2 linked regions of the Drosophila melanogaster genome follow. The protein of the gene in region 2 purifies or fractionates together with the protein of the main gene of each other region. This does not show direct contact. Each region holds a gene or a part of one and is shown on either strand. Other genes may lie near its edges.

Region 1 (11,431 bases), on a different chromosome or scaffold from region 2:
GTTTGCTTATCAGCAAATGTGCCGATAAGCAGACCATTTGTTTATTACATCAATAATGATATCGGTTTGGATAAACTTGATTGGAAGTAATCTTGGTAAAGTGAAAAAATAACAAATTACTTGCATTTATCCGTTTCAAAGATACTAGTGAAATCCTTAATGTCCTTCTATTGTGACCGCTGCTGTGCGCATTGTTGCAATAGGAAGATAGGGGAAGAGAAAGACGGAGCAAAAGAGATCCCCATTTCGAGCTCCAAAGAGTGAGAAAGAGAAACAGAGGGTCCCCATTATGTAGATTTTGTTTTTGTTCGTCGAACAATGGCGATGCAACGCAACTGAGAGGGAAGTAACCGTCTCAGAAACAAAGACGAACACCACGGAGAGGCAACAAAAACTGCAGCATGGAAAGATACAGATACAACGATTCGCGATCCAAGTGCAGTAGTTGCAGCTCTATTTGATTTCGCTGCACTCAACCGGTTTTGGATCGTGAAAACCTGTCGATCTGTGCCATGGTAAACAAAGGGAAAAGAACCCACCAGCGTACAGTTGCGGTCACGAAAGTAGTGACACCACAAGCTAATATTTTTTTTCGGATTAACTCTTGCGAAAGTGTCCACAATTCAAGGATTTCACTTGGCTCTTTCAGGGTGCCCGCCCACCGCCTGGTGCTATCGGCGTCGAGCGCCTACTTCTCGGCCATGTTCACGGGATCGCTGCGCGAGACCAAGGAACAGGAGGTGACCCTCGGTGAAGTGCACGGCGATGCACTGCATCTGCTGGTCCAGTACTGCTACACCGGGTTCATTGAGATGCGCGAGGACACCGTGGAGACGCTGCTGGCCACCGCCTGTCTGCTGCAGCTGAATGCCGTGGTGACCGCCTGCTGCAACTTCCTGGCCCGCCAGCTCCATCCATCCAACTGCCTTGGGTTCGCCTTCTTTGCGGAGCAACAGAGCTGCACCACGCTGCTGCGTCTGGCGCAGGCCTACACCTGCCAGTACTTTATGCAGGTGTGCCAGAATCAGGAGTTCTTCCAGCTGAACGCCGATCAGTTGGGCAAGCTGCTTAGCAGCGATGATCTCAATGTGCCCTCGGAGCAGGATGTCTTTCACAGTCTGATGTCGTGGGTGCGCCACGATTCCGCTGCCCGTGAGCAGCACATACCGGAGCTGTTGGCCCTGGTGCGACTGCCCCTACTGCAGCCAGCGTTTATCATGGACCACGTGGAGAACGTTTGCAATGCCAACGAGTGCCAGCAGCTGGTTATGGAGGCATTCAAGTGGCACCTGATGCCCGAGCGCCGATCCCGGATAGCCACCGAGCGAACAACGCCGCGCAAATCCACGGTGGGTCGTCTCCTGGCCGTCGGCGGCATGGATGCCCACAAGGGCGCCATCAGCATCGAGAGCTACTGCCCGCGTTTGGACAAGTGGACACCGTGGAAGCACATGACCGGTCGTCGACTGCAATTCGGCGCTGCTGTCATGGAGGATAAACTGATCCTAGTGGGCGGACGTGATGGGCTAAAGACCCTGAACACCGTAGAGAGTTTGGACCTGAATACAATGGCCTGGGCACCGCTCAATGCCATGGCCACACCCCGTCATGGACTGGGCGTGGCGGTGCTGGAGGGTCCACTCTATGCGGTGGGCGGTCACGACGGCTGGAGCTACCTGAACACCGTGGAGAGGTGAGAGGGCAATGAATTTGATGAATTGATGGATATGTACATATATGTATAATTGTGCAACTGAGTAAACATTTTCCAGATGGGATCCCATAGCGCGCACTTGGAGCTATGTGGCACCCATGTCCTCGATGCGTTCCACCGCCGGCGTGGCTGTCCTGGGCGGTCGCCTGTATGCGGTGGGCGGACGTGATGGTTCCGTCTGTCATCGCTCCATCGAGTGCTACGATCCGCACACGAACAAATGGAGCCTACTGGCGCCGATGAACAGGAGACGCGGCGGCGTTGGCGTGAGTATCCTCTAAGCATATCCTTAGTGGTCTTTCTCTTAATTACCTGCCCTACCAGGTGACGGTGGCCAATGGTTTCCTGTACGCCTTGGGTGGCCACGACTGTCCGGCCAGCAATCCAATGGTCTGCCGCACGGAGACGGTGGAGCGCTACGACCCAGCCACCGATACCTGGACTCTGGTAAGCTGGGATTGGGTTATGTGGTTCCCTCAACCTCATCCTCACTTCTAATCGATGTCATCTCATTCCACAGATCTGCTCACTGGCTTTGGGCCGGGACGCGATCGGCTGTGCCCTGCTGGGCGATCGCCTGATCGTCGTCGGCGGCTACGATGGCAATCATGCGCTGAAGAGCGTCGAGGAGTACGACCCGGTGCGCAATGGATGGAACGAGCTGGCGCCCATGGCTTTCGCAAGGGCCGGCGCCTGTGTGGTGGCGATTCCGAATGTCATACCGCCGGCGGCTCAACAGCCGCCGCCCAGTGCTACAGTTTAGTCCAAACCCAATCCACTTTCGGTTGCAGTGTAGGCTCGTTAATTGCATCGCTTATTTCGGATAGAAGGGCCAGATGTTTGGAAACGATTTGCATTTAGCACCCAGCCAAATTTATACGCGAAATTCCTATTAGATACCCATTATTTGGGTAGAGCTTTATAAATTGCATTTAATGTTAGTAAATTTGTCAAGATGTTTCGCTCGGCAGTTAATGCTGCACACAAACTGTAGATTTTATACCTTTCTTGCATTAATCTTAAAAATCCAAACATTCCACGTTTACAAAAGATATTTTCCCAAATTTACCAGTTCATGTAAAGCATTTCCATTTACTTGTAGATATTAAGGAACTTTAGGAGGCAATAATCAAAAGTAGTTTTATAAGTAGCGTGGTCTGAAAGCGATGCACTTAGCGAGAGAGCACTGCACCCGTTCTATAGTAGTTGTTGTTACTGTTGCTGTGAGCTGCTCGTGGTTGTTGCTCGTGTTTCCTAACCCGGCAAGTTTGAAACTGCAGCTCACCTTCGCCTCGCCTCGCTCTCGTCTGTGTTCTGACATGATTCCCTGTGGTATGGCATACACCCAGAACTCACCCACTTTCCGCACCGCACACCCCAACCCAGTATTTTCCCCATAACTCTGCTCTTTTCGGCTTGAATCTAAAAATAAGTAAATCAAAAAAAAAATAAAAAAATCAGTGAAATCTCATAGGATTTAAGAAGTGCATGTTGCGAGGCTTCCAGTTCCAATCTAAAATCGATCCCTAGCTGTAATTAACCAACGTATTTTACACGATACCCTAGTTTCTAAAAATTTTCCATCCCACTCACACCCCATGGTGTCGTACGCTTCACACACTGCACGCCATCTCGCTCGCACCGGTGACGGGCCCACATTCCATATGCATAAATCGTATACACATACTTATATCCTGACAAGACTGCGCCAAGCCAAAATTCCAAAAACCAAAATTGCTCATTTTTGCATGTGAAGTGTGCGAAACCATTAGAAAAACAAAACAAACAAAATCAAAAAAAAAAAAAACGAACGAAAACAATCAAAAAGACAACTGCAATTGCTTAGTTTTAGTTAGTAAATACTTGTCCCATGGAATGATTATATTTCGACTTTTGCATCGTCATTTTGTACCGATATTATTCTTAGTAAATACTAGATGTGTGTGTGCGTACAGCGAGCATTTATTTCTAATTGTTTATTATGTTTTTATTTCTTTCTTTTCCCTTTCCCTTCGATTGCATTTAAAAATTAAAGAAAAAGAAGAAGTGGAAGCCAGTGAGATTGGATCCAATCTGCTATAATAGGCGTCCCAGATGTGTCGAGTTTGTCGACTACTATAACATGTAAATGCTAGACAGACAAGACAACAAACAAAGCAAACTATAAACATTTAAGCCAAGCTAAAAGAAAAAACACAAGAAAACTTGTCAAAAAAAAAAAAAAACAATCCAAATATTACGTATTATTTTATATTTACACATATATATATTTTTACACAAAACATACACTGCGAAATGTATACACTGGATATGTATTTTTTGTAATAAAATCGAAAATTAAACGGTTATTCGCTGCATTTGAAAAACCGAACATATAAAATAATACTATTTTGTCGGTTAAGCGGGGATTGCTCTTTTAAATGGGTAACTTCAAGTTTCTTGATTGTATTTAAATATTTGAAATAATATATTTAAATTATCTAACTTTCTGATTGGAATACGATTTTTTTTAGAATATTAGTGGTAAGGGCGTACCGATAGTTGGCATTCGATGGTTGAGATATCTGGCAACGCCCCGTAGTATATTAGATTAGAACGGCAAAGGTGCGGTCACACTGGCGGAAATTATAAAAATTAATTAAATTAACTTAAACGACCTAAAAAGCGAACTCAACGACAGCTTTGAACGGCCACCGTTGGCGACATGGAAACGGAGCACCTGAAACGACTAGAGGCCAAGGAGGCGGACCACATTCCCGCCATCCTGGACGAATTCAACACAAAGGTGAGCACTGCCAGCGGTTTCTCCCGAAGATTCAACCAGATTATATACCCTTCCTTCTGCCGTAGAATGCGGATCTGCTGGTCTTCGACAGTTTCCGCACAGACAACCTGTGGCACGAACTGTGGCTGGCCATCTTCGGCATATTGGACGACCAGCGGCTTAGTCATCTGCATACGCAGTGCCTGAACACGGTGAGGATTCTAACGCGTGACGAGTTCAGCCTGCAGACGAACTACATCGAACAGGAGGTTAACACCCTGCTGAAGCTGGCTAGGATTGAGGCCGGCTCACTAAAGCTGCCAGCCACGCCGGACGAGCTTAAACAGGAGGAACGCGAGGAGCCCCAGCTGGAGCCCAGCCAGGCCCAATCGGAGGTGATTGCCGAAGCACTTAAGTGTCTGTGCAACTTGGTCTACCAGAGCTCCGACTGCAGGCGCCAGTGCCTGCGGCAACACTGCCTGGATGCAATCCTGAAGAGGGTGGCGTCCTCGATGCGACATCCCTGTGCGTTGGAGTACTACGACATGAAGCTCCTCTTCTTGCTCACTGCATTAGAGCCAGCGGCGCGCTCTCGCCTCCAAATCGATCTGAATGGCCTCACCTACATGACTAAGTGGCTGGACGACAAGCTGGGCGAAGACTCAGTTGGCGAGGAGCAGCTGAACATCATCTGCGAACTGCTCAAGGTGATGTTCAACGTGACCAGTGCTCCGGACAAGAGCCCCAACGAATACGAAATCCAGAGCTTGCATTTGACGGGAGTGCTGAGGGAGCTACTCCTGCGTTTCGGCGACTTGGCCACAGAAAAGGATCGCGCCGTCGTCACACACGCCATCAATCTGCTGACAAACATCTCCGGCAGCTGCCTGACAGAACTCACCCTGCGTTGCTCCAATGCCGAGTTGGAGTCGCACAAGGAAAGAGAGCAGGACAACGAGAAGGAAAAAGATACAGAAGCTGGAGCGGGAGCCAAACCCCGTGAGTGCTGCTCGCAGTGCTTCGAAAAGCGCAATGTTCGGAGTCTGGACGTGCTACTCCGCTACCTAAGGCAATCTCTGGCCCAACAGGAGGCCGAGGCTAGCTCGCATGAGTTGCTTTCCCCAGTGCTGACCGTGCTGGTGAAATGTGCGCGCAGCGATCGAGTTATGCGTCACTATCTACGCCAGGAGATTCTGCCGCCGCTGCGGGACGTTAGTCAACGACCTGAGGTTGGTCAGGAGCTGCGCAATCATCTGTGTCGGTTCCTTACACTGCCCGCGATGATCCTACGAGATCTGTCCGCCGAACTGCTGTTCGTACTGTGCAAAGAAAATGTCGGCAGGATGATCAAATATACGGGCTATGGCAACGCAGCCGGGCTCTTTGCCAAGCGGGGTATACTCGACTGCCGGCGAGTGGAGGGCACCGACTACTCCTCCGACAGCGAGGACAGCGACACCGAGGAGTACAAGCAGCAGCAGCAGGGCATCAATCCAGTCCTTGGCTGCGTAGAGCCGCGCAGCAAGTCGCATCTGGACGACATAAGCGAAGAGCAGAAGGAATACGAGGCTATGCAGCTGGTCAATCTCATCGAACAGCTGCGTCAGGGCGGGATCGTAAAGCCGGCGATGATAGACAAGGACGGGCGCCCGCAGCCGCTGGAACACATCCTTCAGCTGCAGGAGGAGCTGCCGCAGCAGCAGCTCGACCAGAAGCGGAAAACCTAAGCCACAAATGTATTGCGGGATCTGCTATGGCACAACTTCCAAATAGCTACCAAAAAATCACCTTAAACTCTGCATTTATTCCATAAGTTTACTGTCGAATGTAGCTTCGAATGTGTTCAAAAAGCAGATTTTTTTTTTTACATAGTTTATATATTTTATACCACATATTCGAGAACATCTCATTATAACCTACAATTTGTTAACCAAAAATTATCCAATCTGGCTTTGATTTCAGTGATCAGCTTTTGTCTAAATGCCATTATTATTAGTGTTAGCTAAAATAATTATAATCTATCCAATTAGCTTCAATTCGTAGATAAGTTCGGTCTCCCAACTTTTACAGAATTTCTTTAACCATTAACCATGTAGAACGTTGTACTTATTAAGTTATTACGCACTTCGTTGTTATTTTGTTGTCCCGTGAATTGTTCGCACTTTTAAAGTTGATACCATGGCATCCCATAACGTACGGCTTGAAAAAAATAACTAAATGCAAAACAATCGTTGGGGTCTTCCAATTTCAGGAAGTAGGGAGCAGATGAACATCAAATCTGAATTCATTTAAATACACGCCCACACTATAGGACAACTAGGACGACTTTTCATTTTAATAGTTAAGTGCATGTATGTATTATATTTATAAAATTCCAATTATACACTTAGGATCTAGGAATGAAAGCTCTTATTCCGATTCTCAGTTTTCTATTACAAATGATGTTGCATGTGTGTAACACTAACTATAGCTCTAGAATCGAACTAAACGAACTACAAAGTCTATCTATGACAGACGGCAGTGAGGAGCACTTGAAGAGCCATCAAGTTGTGGATGTCGACACGGCCATGCAACCAACTATCCCATCCGCACATTGTTCATGTCCATGTCTAATCTATGTTGTAAATTCCGCATAATAGGGTAAAGGAATAATTCCAAAACTTTCTAAAAGTTACGTGTCTTTGATCTATATACAAGAAATCCTATCTAGAGCTTTATTGTGTTCAATTTGCTATAGCGATGATACTAGTAGATCAACTTATATACATCAAAACATAGTAATATTTTTTGTGCGAGTCTAAATGTACGGCTATCCTAAGCTTAACAATAAAATAAATCAATCAAGGTCATGCTATAATAATCAAGCCACATATTTTCCGATTCATAATGCTTTGAAACTAAATTTTAATTATTAATATTGAATCAGAGTTATAAGGATCGACTCCTCTCCGGCGAGGAGTCCGCCTCTTGAATGTCGCCCTCCATGGGCCTCATGTGATCGAAGCGAGCAATGTAGCTGGGTTTGTGGTGGCGATGGCGGCACGCCTTGTGGCAGTCATTTGGGATTTCTTCTTGGTCATTCTGTTCCAATTTTCGGCGATACTTTTCCTCCTCCCTGCGCTCATCCAACCAAAACAGCTCGTATATGCGGTCGTGCCGCTGGAGTTCATTCGCTCGCTCCAGATCTTTTTCCTTCTGCTTCGGGGGGGTGTATTTGAGAAAGTAGTCGGCATACTTGCTGTCGTTGTCCCGCCCCGGGGAATGCACCGGCTCCGATCCGATCAGCTTTATCGAGTCATTCTGCTGATCCTTCGACAACGATTCATCCGCCTTCTTTTCAGTATGCCCACACACCTTTTCTTCTATCTTCAAGGGTTCGCTCTCCGCCTCAATGCGGCGGCACTGGTTCTCCTTTAGCTTGAGCTCCCGGTTAATCTGCCGCCTTTCCTCCCTCTGCAAAATCTCCATCTGCTGGCGATGCTCCGCTTCTGAGGGAAACCTATCCCTTGTGAAGTAGAACATGCTATGGTGTCTCTCTTTGGGTTTCTTCTCTTGGCACGTCTTGTTTGAGTAGCGATTCTTTGGAATCATACAAGAGTCCCATTGTATCATCCTTGAAGGGCTATCTTTGATGTTGTCCTTCTGGGTCTGAATCGCAGTTTGAACATGGGCCTTCGCTTCGGTATGGAATTTACGTTGAGACTGTGCCTGCGATTGCACTTTGCTTTTCTTCTGGCGAGCCGCGGCTGCCGCGGCCGCCACGGCAGCCAATTCCCGTTGGATCGCCGCATTTTTGTGTTGGCATATGTGCACAGATTTTCGCTGTGCAGCAGGAGCAGTAGCAGCAGCAGCAGGAGGAGCTGCAGCTGGAGGAGCAGAAGCAATAGAGGCTTTCTTAACTGCAGACTCCATGTGGTTGATCTCCTTCGACTGTGCCTTATGTGCAGAGCCCAGCAGCTTAATGTTCTTGCGCGACTGGGTCACCTCGACGGAAGATGGCTCCTTCTTCCATTCCGCCGGGCTCGTGGTCGATTGTTTGGCACTCATTGCAATGTGGTGGGATTTGGATGAGTTGAAAATTTGTGATTCGGCAGGCAGTTATGTGAATTATGTTAATATGTATGGTTGGGCTGGGTTTAGTGGGTCTGCTGTCATGGAACTAATATTACACTTAACTAAAGGCACACTTAGAATTTTGAATATTCACATTCTCATACCACACAGACAGGAATTTTTAAAACTATTGTGATTAAATGAAATTTGTGGTTCGAAATGAAGAATACTGACTGAGATACCGCCTCCAAATCGATCTAAATGGCCTCACCTACATGACCAAGTAGCTGGACGACAAGCTGGGCGAAGACTCCGTTAGCGAGGAGCAGCTGAACATCATCTGCGAGCTGCTCCTGCGTTTCGGCGACTTGGCCACAGAAAAGGATCGCGCCGTCGTCACACACGCCATCAATCTGCTGACAAACATCTCCGGCAGCTGCCTGACAGAACTCACCCTGCGTTGCTCCAATGCCGAGTTGGAGTCGCACAAGGAAAGAGAGCTGGACAACGAGAAGGAAAAAGATACAGAAGCTGGAGCGGGAGCCAAACCCCGTGAGTGCTGCTCGCAGTGCTTCGAAAAGCGCAATGTTCGGAGTCTGGACGTGCTACTCCGCTACCTAAGGCAATCTCTGGCCCAACAGGAGGCCGAGGCTAGCTCGCATGAGTTGCTTTCCCCAGTGCTGACCGTGCTGGTGAAATGTGCGCGCAGCGATCGAGTTATGCGTCACTATCTACGCCAGGAGATTCTGCCGCCGCTGCGGGACGTTAGTCAACGACCTGAGGTTGGTCAGGAGCTGCGCAATCATCAGTGCCGGTTCCTTATACTCAAGGCAATCTGGCACAAAAATATGGATCACTGCGGGTTTTTGTACGAAAAAACGTTCCGTCTTTATAAACCCAATAGAAGTTACAATATAAAATAGATAGAAAAGATCTACGACAAAAAGAATCTTCACTCATTGCATTCGCGTTTCAAAATATATGTATGTATATTGTGTCAAGATTGGGACAAATATTCTAGGACATATCAGTTGCTCTCCGGCAAGGAGTCCGCCTCCTGAATGTCGTCCTCCGTGGGCCTCATGTGATCGTAGGGAGCATGGTGGTTGGGTTTGTGGTGGCGATGGCGGCACGCCTTGTGGTGGTGAACTGGGAGTTCTTCTTGGTCATTCTGTGCCAACTTGCGGCGATATTTTTCCTCCTGCCTGCGATCATTCAGCCAAAACAACCCGTATATGCGGTCGTGCTCCCGCTGGAGTCCATTCGCTCGCTCAAGATCATTCCAATTCTGCTGTGGGGTGGTGTATTTGAGAAAGTAGTCGGCATACGTGGTGTAGTTGTCCCGCCCCGGGGAATGCTCCGATCCGGAATCGCGTCCCCCACTGTCCGGTGCGGGGTTGAGTTCTTTCCCTATTTCCTTATATGCTGTATAGTACTTAGCTCTGTAGGCGTGGTCCAGGTCGAGATTATCGTACTCATTGGTCTCGTCGCGGGCCAAGAACTCTTGCACCTGGCGCTGGCGCTCCTTTTCTTGCTCCTGGCGAAAGATCTCGTAGTTTTGGGATCCGGGACCACCAATGCCCTCCGGCAGGGCTCTTCTGTCATCCTCATCCTTCTCATCACTCTCCTTTGACCGCTGCAGCTTTTTCAAGTGGGTGCTAACGTTCGCATAGTTAAGCACATCCGCATTCAACTCGACAAAGTCCACCAACTCCTCCGTGCACTTCTCCATCTCTAGCTCCAGGTGATGGATCCGTTCGCGGACGCATGTGCCAAAGGTGATCGAATCCTTCTGCTGATCCTTGGACAACGATTCATCCGCCTTCTTTTCAGTATGCTCACACACCTTTTGTTCTATCACCTTGATCGTCTTGGACTCCTGTTCAGTTGTCTCCTTCAAGGGTTCGCTCTCCGCCTCAATGCGGCGGCGGTAGCTCTCCTTCAGCTGGAGCTCCCGTTTCATCTGTCGCTGGTACGCCCTTTCCTCCCTCTGCTGGCGATGCTCCGTTTCTGAGGGAAACGTATCCCTTGTGATGCAGGACATGCTATGGTGTTTCTTTTTATATTTCTTCTCTTGGCACATCTTGTTTGAGTAGCGATTCTTTGGAATAGGCGCTTTAGCTTCCGTCAGGCTCTGGGACTCTTGTATCATCCTCGGAGGGCTATCTTTGATGTTGTCCTTCTGGGTCTGAATCGCAGTTTGAACATGGGCCTTCGCTTCGGTATGGAATTTACCTTGAGACTGTGCCTGCGATTGCCAGCTGCTTTTCTTCCGGCGAGCCACGGCTGCCGCGGCCGCCACGGCAGCCAATTCCCGTTGGACCGCCGCATTGTTGTGTTGGCATTTGGGGACAGATTTATCACCAGATTTCCGCGGTACAGCAGGAGCAGTAGCAGCAGGAGCAGGAGGAGCTGCAGCAGGAGGAGCAGAAGCAATAGAGACTTGCGTAATTGCAGACTCCATGTGGTTGATCTCCTTCGACTGTGCCTTATGTGCAGAGCCCAGCAGCTTAATGTTCTTGCGCGACTGGGTCACCTCGACGGAAGATGGCTCCTTCTTCCTTTCCGCCGGGCTCGTGGTCGGTTGCTTGGCACTTGTTGTCCTGCGGGAGGGAATTGGATGAGTTGAACACTGGTGATTCGCCAAAATATGTGTGGTTGGGCTGGGTTAAGTGGGGCTGCTCTCATGTTACTAATATTACACTTAACTAAAGACACACTTAGAATATTGAATATTCACATCCTCATACCACACAGACAGGAATATGTTGTTAACCTAATAACAATAATATTAATATTATATGTTTCTTAAGACATATTTACTGCTAGTTTATTGTATTTTCAATTTAAACTATTGTGATAAAATAAAATTTGTGGTTTGAAATGATGAAAACTGACTG
Region 2 (11,110 bases):
AATGTCTTTGTTTGCCAGCACAGCCTTACACCTACGCGGCATGGAGTCCACCAGGTCCTGGCAACGTTTGGGGGTAATTTTTGCCTACATTTTATTTTGGGTAAACCGATCTGTTTACGTGTTTCGGATCGTTATCCAGTTGGAATGTCCATTTTAAGGAAATATTGAATTCAGTATATGACAGTAGGACATCACTAAATATATTTACATATGCGTTTTGGTCTATAATACCATAAATCAAATGTTTTGGACTCATAACATTGTAAAAAGAAAACAAACCCATACCAGGATTTTACGTCCACCATGATTGAAAGTCTTGAGTGGGTGTTTTGGGTGGTACTCCGTGAGTGGAGGTCGTCGGACATACTATGGTAAACCAGTTCCACCAAATAGCACTATTTTTGACTCATCAGTCCAGTTTGACTGGCCAGTTTAGGTAGGTTTTAGAGAAGTTTAACCGTGCCTAAATATGCCTTGGGCTATGTAGGGGCGCCATTCGTGGACTCCTCGCACTTAAATTTTGATTTAGTAGTCGTCTCCAAATTATACCATCTCTGATTTCCCAGTTCAGCTCAGTCTTTACGTCCCTAGAGGATGCAAAAGGATTGACTTTGCTGTAAGTAACAATGCGTCGATCCTCTATATCTGTGGTTGTACATATGGAACCACGGTTCGGGCTTCAATTCATATTTAATGGAATTGGAATCAAAGATTTTTCGAATTTATTTATGTTTCCCTTCCTTTCTTAGCTTACTAATTAAAATTCTATTCTCTTGGGAGCAGTGCTGTCCTCTACACACTAAAATAGAATTGTTTTTATATATTTTCTTTAATTTATTGCCCTTTTAAATATTCAAATTAACGTAACCAAAATCTCTGTTTAGAATATATGCTTAAATTCTTGACTTTACGTAGGTCAAAAACTGAAACTGCTATTCCAATAATGAACAAAGTTGTAAATTTTGCTCAAGAATGTAAAGAAAATAAGTAAAACATGAAAAACAAACGGGATTTTCTTTTTTTTTCTATCTACACATTCCATTTTACAAAAATAAGTGGAATAAAAAGTCGATTCCGGAAAAGGACATGGGAAAATACCTGTGTATTTATTAGTTTCTCTTGCGCTGCTATTTCATTGAACACAGGTGTATATGGAAAAGTATCCTTTGAGTGAGTTGCTGCTGGAACTAAAGTGCCCATTTTGTATGTATGTACATTTTCGTACTCTGCGAAAGTAAGAGTAAGCAGAAAAGCAAACGACGAAAGGTATAGAAGCATATTTCCATACATAGGTACATATTTCCATCTTTGTATTTAATTATTATATTTTTATGTTGTTATTATTATTAATTATTCACAATACAGTTATGCATATATTGTCTTGCAGATGATCGCCTACATTTTTTTTATGGTTTGGCAAACGTTTTTTAATGCTGATATTTAATTTATGAGTTTGGCAAACGTATTCTCTGAGTATACCGATATTGCCTTTATATGTATTTTCTAAAGTACAGCTTTTTTCAAAATTCTAAATGGTGGGCAAACGATGTTATTGTGATTGTGAAAAAGTCAACTTTTTGATTTTCGAACATTTTTAAACCTTATCGAAATTTCAAATTCGAAAACTGGACGTGGGCAAAAAAAATTGGTGGGCAAACGATTTCAGCATTAAAATTTCACAAATTTGATTTTTCCGAAGCCAGCTTCTGTTTAGGCAAGCTGTAGGTTTTGGCTAGATTTAAACAAAGCGATTAATACATACTTCTTATATCATTGGAGAGGGTTTTTTGATTTGTTTAAACGCAGGTTACATTTTCTACCATAATTATTTGATATAAAGTATATACACTGCGCGTCATCAGATTAGCGCCCCTGCATGGCTCCGTTTCTTTTTATGTTCTGTATTTAGCCATTGCACGAAAATATATCAATGTTATTGTTTTTTGTTTACTGATACTCCCTCTCTCTTTGAGTATAAAAAAGAGGTCCTGAGAAGAACCGTTATCTTTCTAATTCTGCTTTGTTTTACTTTTGAATAACTTCCATAATTTGAAAGGTAGGTCAACAAAGAGACAATGTTGTATGCTGTTAAGTTGAAAAATTTGCTCTAATTTAGCGAAAAAATAAGAAGAGGGACGCTGTTATCCTTGCAGGAAAAATTCGAAATCATAGCTTTCTTTGAATGCGGGCTGCCTTTTCATAAAATTGCAGAAAAAACCGACAGACATCTCAAAACTGTAGACAATTTTATTAAAAACGAGCAAACTTATGGAAAGAACTATAAAAGCGGCAATAACCTTGTCTTTAACGCGGCAGATCGCATGTCCATGTCGAATACATTGCAATTCCCACGAGTCCTCCGCCAAAATTCGAAAAAAAAGTGGTGAAAAGCAGTTGAAATCGTTAATTCAAAGGGTGATTAAGAAAGCTTATCATTTAAAACACGAAAAACTGCAAAAAAAAAAAACAACTCTTAATAAGTTGCGAAAAAAGCACGCCTGAGTTTTGCTCGAGCTCACATGACCTGGTCTAAGGAGTGGCATTATGTCGAATTTTCGGACGAGATGAAATTTAATTTGGAGGAACCAGACGGCAATTGTCATTACTATCATGATTTGCGTAAAGAGGAGCACATTTTGGATCTTATTCACAGTCGGGTTGAAGGTGTCATGGTATGGGGCGCAGTATCCTATTATGTCCCCTGTGATTGGAAGTTTTTAACACCAAAAATAAACACGAAAGATTATAAGTGTGTATTAAAAACTGCATTTCCCTACTTTAAGAACGTTTTTGGAAATCTAGAATGGCATTTTCAGCACGACAATGTCCACACGTTCGGTAAAAACATGGATTCGAAGCGATAATGTAAAAGTTATGGAATGGCCACTATACTCCCAGGACCTTAATACAATAGAAAACGTGTGGGGATGGTTGGCTGGGAAGGTATACGAGGGTGGTAAGCAATATGTCACTCAAGAGAAATCGATCACCGGAAAAAAGTTCGGTTGGTCTACGATTACTTTGGATTACCTAGAAAAAATATATGATTCACTTCCCAGACGAATGTGTGAAGTCCTTGAAAACAAAGGAGAAGCAACTAATTATTAGTTTTCTTTAAAAATATTAGATTTTAAACATTTAAGTGATAATCATCTAACTTTTTTCGAAATTAATAAAAAAAAACCTAAATTGTCATAGGGGCGCTATCCTGATGTTTTTTTTCTGGTGTTTTTGTTTTTCTTTTTTATTTCAACAAAAATCTATAAACAACAAACTGCATCCCATATAAACTTTTCATTTATGAAATTTTACAACTTTTAAGGGAAAAAATTTCAAAAACTTTCGCTTAAGCAGTTTTCTAAATGTCTCACATCAAAGATTTTTACTCAAGGTGCGCTAACCTGGTGAGGCGCAGTGTACATATGTATATTATTCATCAATATGAACAAGCGAATCGAAATATTCATGCTTGTCCGACCGTTTCTAATCAAACTAGCCTCTTGTCCAAACCTCTTCTTTCCATTGCACGAAATATAAGAGATGGAGCAAGATTTATATTGTTAATTTGTTTTATGAATGGATTAACAAAATATATGTGCAAAAGTTTGTGTTATGCTCATAACCGAATTATCGGTCTAAAACCTTGTTCGTTTCCGAGAAAAATCGACTAACACGTCAAAGTAGAAAATTAGACCTGGTTGGGGCCGGTGAAGAAATTCCATGAAATATCTTCAATTGTTTTTTCAAAAACAAGACATTTAAAAACATTCCCTGACTCACCCAAAGTAAACTCCTTACCCTTTCTGTGAACAAGAAACTATTACCCTTGAACAAGTCATTGAAAAAAACTCTGCATGCTTATAAAAAACAAAATGTTGTTCTTGAATGGAGATTTATTTTAAAAAATGCCTATAACAATTAAGTCCGTTTTGCAAAAGTATTTGATAGACTGTGCCTGGCAAAAATTTTGTAATGTGGACCATTATAATGTTTTTTAAATGATGATGCAGCGCGGGCCGGGCTTTATTTCAAGGCCCGCGGGCCTTTGCCAAAAAAATTGGGTTCGGGCCTCAAATTCGTCTTTCGTGCCCTAAGAAAAAAGCCCGCAGGCAGAACCGAAAGTTAAACTTGTTTGTCACAATCTAACAGGCGAGAACATCCTCAATAACGTTAAGGAAATTATGGAAGAATACAGTTTGGATTCTAATATCGATAAATCTATTTTGTTTGTGATCGGAGAAAGTATTAAAGATGTGCGCCAGTGAAATGCTCGATTCTGAAACCATAATTCAGCTGAAAAATAATACGTTAAATTCTTTACATAAAAGATGTGCACCATAAACGGCACATTATGTTGGACTCTTCTTAAATTCTCCCGTTAAGGAAATGTGTTGCTTATCGCCAAAAGTTAAGGAGAATGTAATTGTAACTGTCAAAGCAATGCTTTCAGAAATGCAAAGTGATGAGGAGTTTTATAGGATTAAGAACTGCAAGCCCAGATAAAAAGGGGTTAGGACTGTTTGCAGAATTTCAGGATTAAAAATTTTTCAAAAAAACTTAGTTACAACTAAATTCTTATGATATTGAAATAGAAAAATATTTAAATGGCTGTGCAGCTACTTCAGACCAAAATGTGTTAGAATTTTGGAAATGTAGTGAACTCAAGTTATTGAATTGCCATTCCGGCAAGCTCAGCGAATAGCAAAAGATTATTTTCTACCTCTGGAATTGTATTAAATGAGCGATGTACACGTTTAAAATGTTCTAATTTAAAAAAAAAAATATTTTTAAATAAAAACTTGTCATAAATTATGTTTAAAACACCAAAACTGTACTAAATATTAAGTTTTTTGCAATCAACTTTGTTTACAAAATATAAGAAATATAAATATAAGAAAACCGACATACTTTAAATTAAAAAAAATTGCATTGTTTTTATTTTTTAATTTGTTCGTGTTTAGCTTGGGCAGGGCCCCGGGCTTTTTTTGGGACTAGGTTTCGTGCTCGAGACGGGACGGGCCTCAAGAAGTAGGAAGTCTTCCATTACCTAAGTAGCGTGTATCTTATACTTGCGGAGCTCACAACTATAGGATTTCTCTTGTTTTTATATTTTTCGGTTACAAATATATAGCGCTTGTTGTATGTATGTATGTATGTATGTACATATATACTACTCGACCGACTTGCCTAGTCCTGTTAATTAAGAACACATACGTATAATTCTAGAATTGTTAGCAAAAAAACGTAACTTTTTAAATTAAATATATGCTTATAACATTGTACAGAAATTACATTTTAAACACATTATAATTTTTCCGCCATTGTACATAGACTTTAATTTGTCGAATATCTCCTTTACTTCGTTGTTAACATTTAAATAAAATAACCAACAGCAAGGGTTAGAAATCGATATCCCTAAATCACCTTACCTGACGTCGAAAGGTGTGTTTTTCTTTTTCCAGGAACTTATCAATCTCTTTGGACTTGTAGCGCTGCTCCAGTTCCTCAGGGGTACTACGCAGCCTTACTAGATATGTGATAATATTTCCGCAACATCGAAAGCAAGCAAAGCGCGAGGTCTGAAGCCGACTGCCCTGAAGTCGCAGTCGCTCTGCTCCATTCGATATTAGGCCGTCTGTAGACGTGGTCGCTGCTTCTGGTCCAGTTACCGCTCCCACCCGCGTGCGATGCTCTTCCATAAGATGAGTCAGAGTACCACTAAGCGTGTCACTATCTATGTTGTTTTCGACGCCGTTCGTGATGACATTGTTGTTTGGAATGGAAATTCGTTCTTGAGTTAATTTGGTCAATGTAATGCCAGACATCGCTGGCAAGCCAACGCCTGATGCTCGCACTTTCTATATACACACACGAACACCAATACGTCAAACACTCCCCACACTAACAGCAGATGCTCATCGTCTTGCTTTCGCTTTAATTTATAAACAAACACTTTTTGAATTCTGCATATTCTAATTGTAGGCCTCATATTAGATTAAAAGGCGATGTTGCCATCTGAAAGCCATAACCATTATTTCTACATGGCATCAGACTTAAACGCAACACAAATTCCGGAATAAAGTTCACACCAATAAGACACTGAACGTGATCGTTATTAGGTTATGACACTCTCAGCCATTACATTTACGTTTCTTTAGGAATATAATTGTAATTATATATGGAGCAAACAACAGCGGTGATAATAATTTTTGCCTGTATATAAAACATAAACATTCGTGTCAACTTTGTTATACCATGTTCCCACAGATCAGTTTTTCGGTGAAATTGGTTCCATATGTGAACCAATTTGACAATATTATAAGCAACAGGTCCAGCTCTTTAGTGTAAAGAATTATTAAAAACAAATTATTATATCGGGTTTACCAGGAATGTAATTTATAATTTAATTTTAAATTTTAAAGCATATAAGATAAAAAGAAAATGAGAAGAAAATATTATTCTTTAATTGGGAACAAAACAAATCAGTTACAATAACATTAATAAAAAAATTGGTTGTAGAATATTTCTTTAAAATTAAAACTTTATTTTAATGAAGTGACTTTTGGAGAGGGCACGTTCCCTTATAGGATGACCTGTATGGGATGAAAATTAAAAAAAAAAAAACATTTTTAACTTTTGCTATGGATACAGTAGCATTGATTGGTTTAATTCGCATTCTGTTTTATTTCGATATTAGGTTGATCCAATACACTAAAGCTAGGTAAGATTCAAAAAATATTTTTATATCTTAATCTTAATATCATGGCCATTAGCTTACATAGAGAAATAAATAAATAAATATTTATTCCGTTTTGCGTGCTCGCCACCTGTGTTTAAGATTTTTGGAATTCGTTTAGATTCTTTGTAAGGCTGTCAACTAATTAAAGCTAAGCTTAATATTGTTTAAGAGAGCTGGGCAGAAGGCTTTATTTCGGAAGCGGTGATCAGACTTGATGACAGCGTACTGTACTTTGCATCCGTCTTATAGCCCGGGGTGCAGCATGGCCGCCCTGGACGGCGGAACTACCAGGGTTCGAATAAACAATGTCACATCGAATTCAAACATTTTACACAATGTAATTCCGCAAGGTTCGCCAATTTCTGCGGTTTTATTTATGATTGCAATTGAAGAAATAAATAACATTGTAACTCGGCAAAAATATATTTACATCTCACTTTACAAAAATAAAAAATATTCATACAGTCAGCACAAAATTTTTAGAAATATTGCACGAAAATACCTCTCTGCCATTGAAAAATGCCAACTATTATAATTTGACGGAAAAAACGTTGTAATCTCTCCGCACAATAAATGATGTAAACTTTTTAAAAAATTTGGGGATGACCTTCGACTGCAAACTACTTTTCAAACAGCACTGTCAGATTCAAAGAAAACAACTGGAAACTAGATTTCACATTATTAAATTTCTATCATCTAAATATTCGTACATATAACTAAGACTCTCATAGATATTACGATTACGCACGCATTAATGCTATTTAAAATTGACTACCGTCTTCCAATCTGCGGCAGGCTAAGTGTTGGCGACAATACAAGGACAAAAGCAGGCTAAGTGTTGGCGACAAAAACAAGGGCAAAGGCAATGCTGTTGAGATTGGAGTGTGAAATTTGCTTATCAAATGGGCAGAGTTTATATTATGGGTTGGATAACTTGGCGGAATTCCGCGTAGAAGAAACTACATTGATGCTAATCTCGAAGCTGTACACCACGTCCAACTGCCTGCTAACCCATGACTTCGGAGCCATTTTCAAGCAAAAGCTGAATTTTTAATGCATATCCACTCTAACACGTTGCGCTGACTACATCAAGCAACTTGACCTCACCCTGCCTATGCACATTGGGGTTTCAAACAGCCTTCAGATCTACAAAGCTGAAAAAAAAGAAAGAAAAAGAAAAACTGAATTAATACCAATGGTTCTAAAGTCAACGACTCAACCACTTTTGTGGTCACCTTACTCTGGGTTCCCAATCATCAAGGAATCCACGGACTCGCTGACAACTGACAAACTCGCTGACAAAGCCGCCCAAGAGATGAGACTTACACCATCAGCCCTTTTGACTCTGCTTAGCTGCAAGGATATCCAAAGCTATACCTCAAAGAAAAGAGAACTCTCCGAATGGGCACTCTTAATGCACAGTTACCAGATTATTAAGCCAAATTGGATCATGTTCAAGCCACTACCGAACGTACAAGTTATTGCCCTACAGTTTGAGCAAAGACACTAGAATAACAAGATGCGTAACGGCCATACATTGGTTTGGCACTATGCAGCCACTTTTTTGGTGACGGCCAAAATTGCTCTCTTTCCGCTCGCTCACGCTGAGAACGTAAGAAATCTAAAAATAGAATTTGCTTGCTTGTGTGAGTAAAAACAAGAGACGGGAACGCGTATATGTGTGCGTGTTGTGCTAGAAGACGATTTTCGGGCCGAAATCAATTCTGATCGAAGAAATGAATTTACATTGTACATATTAGGGTAGTTTTTTTTTTTTGCCAATTTCGTAGCAATATGATAAAATAAAATAATTTTTAAAAATTTGCGCCCTGACAATTATAATTTTAAAGCTTTTTAAATTTGTTTGTTAAAATCGCCGCTCGAATTAGCTACCGTTTACACATTTATATTTATGTTTAATTCTAATTTGTCTCTCATCTGACAATTTTTTATAAGCGAAAACAGTGATGAAGTGCTCGCCACAAAATCTTCTGTAAATTGGCATTTTTCCGCCCATCTTATTAGCATTGTTGGATCCCTTTCAGGAAATCTAAACAATTTAAGAGCGGGGAAATCGCGCCTAGATTTCCGATAGTGGGATAAGCTGCACTTGTTCCCACTTATGTATCTTCTTTTTTTCTTGGCCATATCCATAAGATTATTCAAATGGGCCATTAAAATGTTTTTTTCTTTCACTTACAATTTATAAATTTCAACTCAAAACTTTGTCGAAAAGCAGCAGCACGTTATTTTAGCGCGTCAAATTACGAAAATACGTAAACACTATTCACTATTTATCACAATTACTATTTGCGCTTATATTTTTTTTCGTACTTTACTTTTGCAACAAAACGACTTTAGTTCAATATAAATTCGATTATATAGCGAAAATATCAAAAAATTGAGGAGCTCTGCGTATAGCCAACTTTAAGCAAACGGGCTAAGAGAAATTAAAAGGAAAAACAAAAAAAATTGGCGCGCTTTTCTTCCCACCCGAAATGGCGCGCTTTTTAAAATTATTGAATTGGAATATAACAAAAAAAAAAAACATACTGAAAAACAACTGAATCTAATGTGCATTTTAAATAATAAAAATGGATCATTAACATACATAAATCATATTAAGTCAAATGACTTATTAAATATACTAAATAATTAAAGGAAGTAAAATATAAATTATTATAACTACTGTAATTAAAGATTAAAAATTTTACAAAAAGAAGACATTACATTGAGAAATAAATAATTCATAAAAATAATACAAAGTAGAAAATAAAAATTTGTAAAATAAATAAAAATATGAAAACTTTTTATTGCAAAAGACACTAGAATTATTCTTTTGAGAGGGGAGGATGGTCGAGTTTCCGAGACATTATCGTTAAAAAAATCGGTCTCCCCTAATAGTGAAGCAATAGAAGCCTTCAAGAAATTAAAGTGCAGTTTGGTTTCTGCAGACGTAATACTCCACTACCCAGACTTTAAAAAAGAATTTCACCTAACAACGGACGCTTCCAATTTCGGAGTAGGCGCTGTTCTTTCACAAGAGAACAGACCAATCTCATTTTTATTGAGAGACGGAAGAAAATTATTCCACAAATGAGAAAGAAATGTTATCCATTATGTGGGCTCTAAAAAAGCACAACATTTACTTTTACGGTAAAGCAAAGGTGAAAATCTTTACTGACCATCAGCCTCTGACCCATTCTCTGAGTAGTTCGAATGGGAATGCGAGGACTTAAAGATGGAAAGCATAACTTGAGGAATATGACTATGAGATTTTCTATTAACCGGGCAGAGAAAATATTGTAGCCGACGCTCTGTCCAGAGGGCCGACAGTCGAACAGATAAACACAGTAGCCTCATCAATGCACCTCTCCGATAGTTCGAGCCATGGGCTGATACGTTGAAGCCCCGATAAGTGCAATCAAATTTTCTTCAGGAAGTCCGAGTCAGAGAATTACTCATTCAACATTCCATTCCCTACATAAATTGTTCACACCGGTTAGTCTCTTGTCAGATTTGAAGGAATATCTCAACCCATTCGTGATTAATATCCTCCGAGTTGTGGATATAATGGGGAAAATACAAATTCTCTACCCTATCCATTTTCAGGGTTTCAAGATTAGATTCTCTCAAACTAAAGTTAAAGACCTTGTTAACGAAGCCGAACAGGAGGAAGACATACTTAGGACACACAATAGAGCACACAGAAATGCTGTGGAAATTAAAGCTCAGTTCTCCGAAAGAATATACTTTCCTAAAATGTGGAAAAAAGGTACGGCTATCGTGAGTCAGGGTTTGGTGTGTAAGACCGCGAATATGACAGACATCTCACACATTCAGAAATAAAAGAAACTCCCTTGCCAGAATACCCCGGACAAATCCATATCCATCTACTCGACAGAACGACATCTGGTGCTCACGGCAATTGATAAATTTTCAAAACTGGCTATGGGAAATTACATTAAAAGCTGTAGAAGACATTAGGAGAGCCTTAAGAGATATCGGGTTTTATTATGGAGTGAATTCATGTTGACAGGCCAGCTGGGCCTGGAACATCTCGATAGAGCCATCTAAGAGCCACTGTTCACTCTGTCACAAAAAAACGAACCCTAGAGGTGTTCTTCGGTAGGATAGCTACCGTGGCTCCGGAAAAGTACGAACAAGCTAGACTGGACAATATAGACCGAATAGGGTTAATACAATGTTAGGTACTAAGCTATCAAGTAGATTTAGGAAGGAACTAGTTAAGACTTCAAGCAAGGAAGTACTTCAATATTAACAGAATCAGGAAAATTAGTACTTAAGCAAAAACATTTATTGCCCTACAAGCGATTCTCTCACATCTTGTGTTTCTTCATTGATTCTGGG

The links.
Region 1: the proteins of cta (region 2) and ric8a purify together in Drosophila melanogaster (affinity purification with western blotting; one study listed by BioGRID). This does not show direct contact.

The regions. Positions count from the first base shown.
Region 1 is NC_004354.4:9,251,879-9,263,309, forward strand, and holds ric8a (ric8a), read left to right. Parts: upstream 1-4,289; 5' UTR 4,290-4,418; coding exon 4,419-4,499; intron 4,500-4,564; coding exon 4,565-6,205; 3' UTR 6,206-7,324; downstream 7,325-11,431. Other genes in the region: CG17754 (uncharacterized protein), read left to right, coding at 650-1,693, 1,773-1,980, 2,039-2,161, 2,235-2,471, 3,750-3,842; Erk7 (extracellularly regulated kinase 7), read right to left, coding at 9,559-11,134. UniProt on the Drosophila melanogaster protein: Chaperone that specifically binds and folds some, but not all, nascent G alpha proteins prior to G protein heterotrimer formation, promoting their stability and activity.
Region 2 is NT_033779.5:22,976,913-22,988,022, reverse strand, and holds the start of cta (concertina), read right to left. Parts: upstream 6,208-11,110; 5' UTR 5,826-6,207; coding exon 5,430-5,825; intron 1-5,429. UniProt on the Drosophila melanogaster protein: May play a role in a signal transduction pathway used during gastrulation. Required specifically for the ventral furrow and posterior midgut invaginations, where it is necessary for coordinating cell shape changes.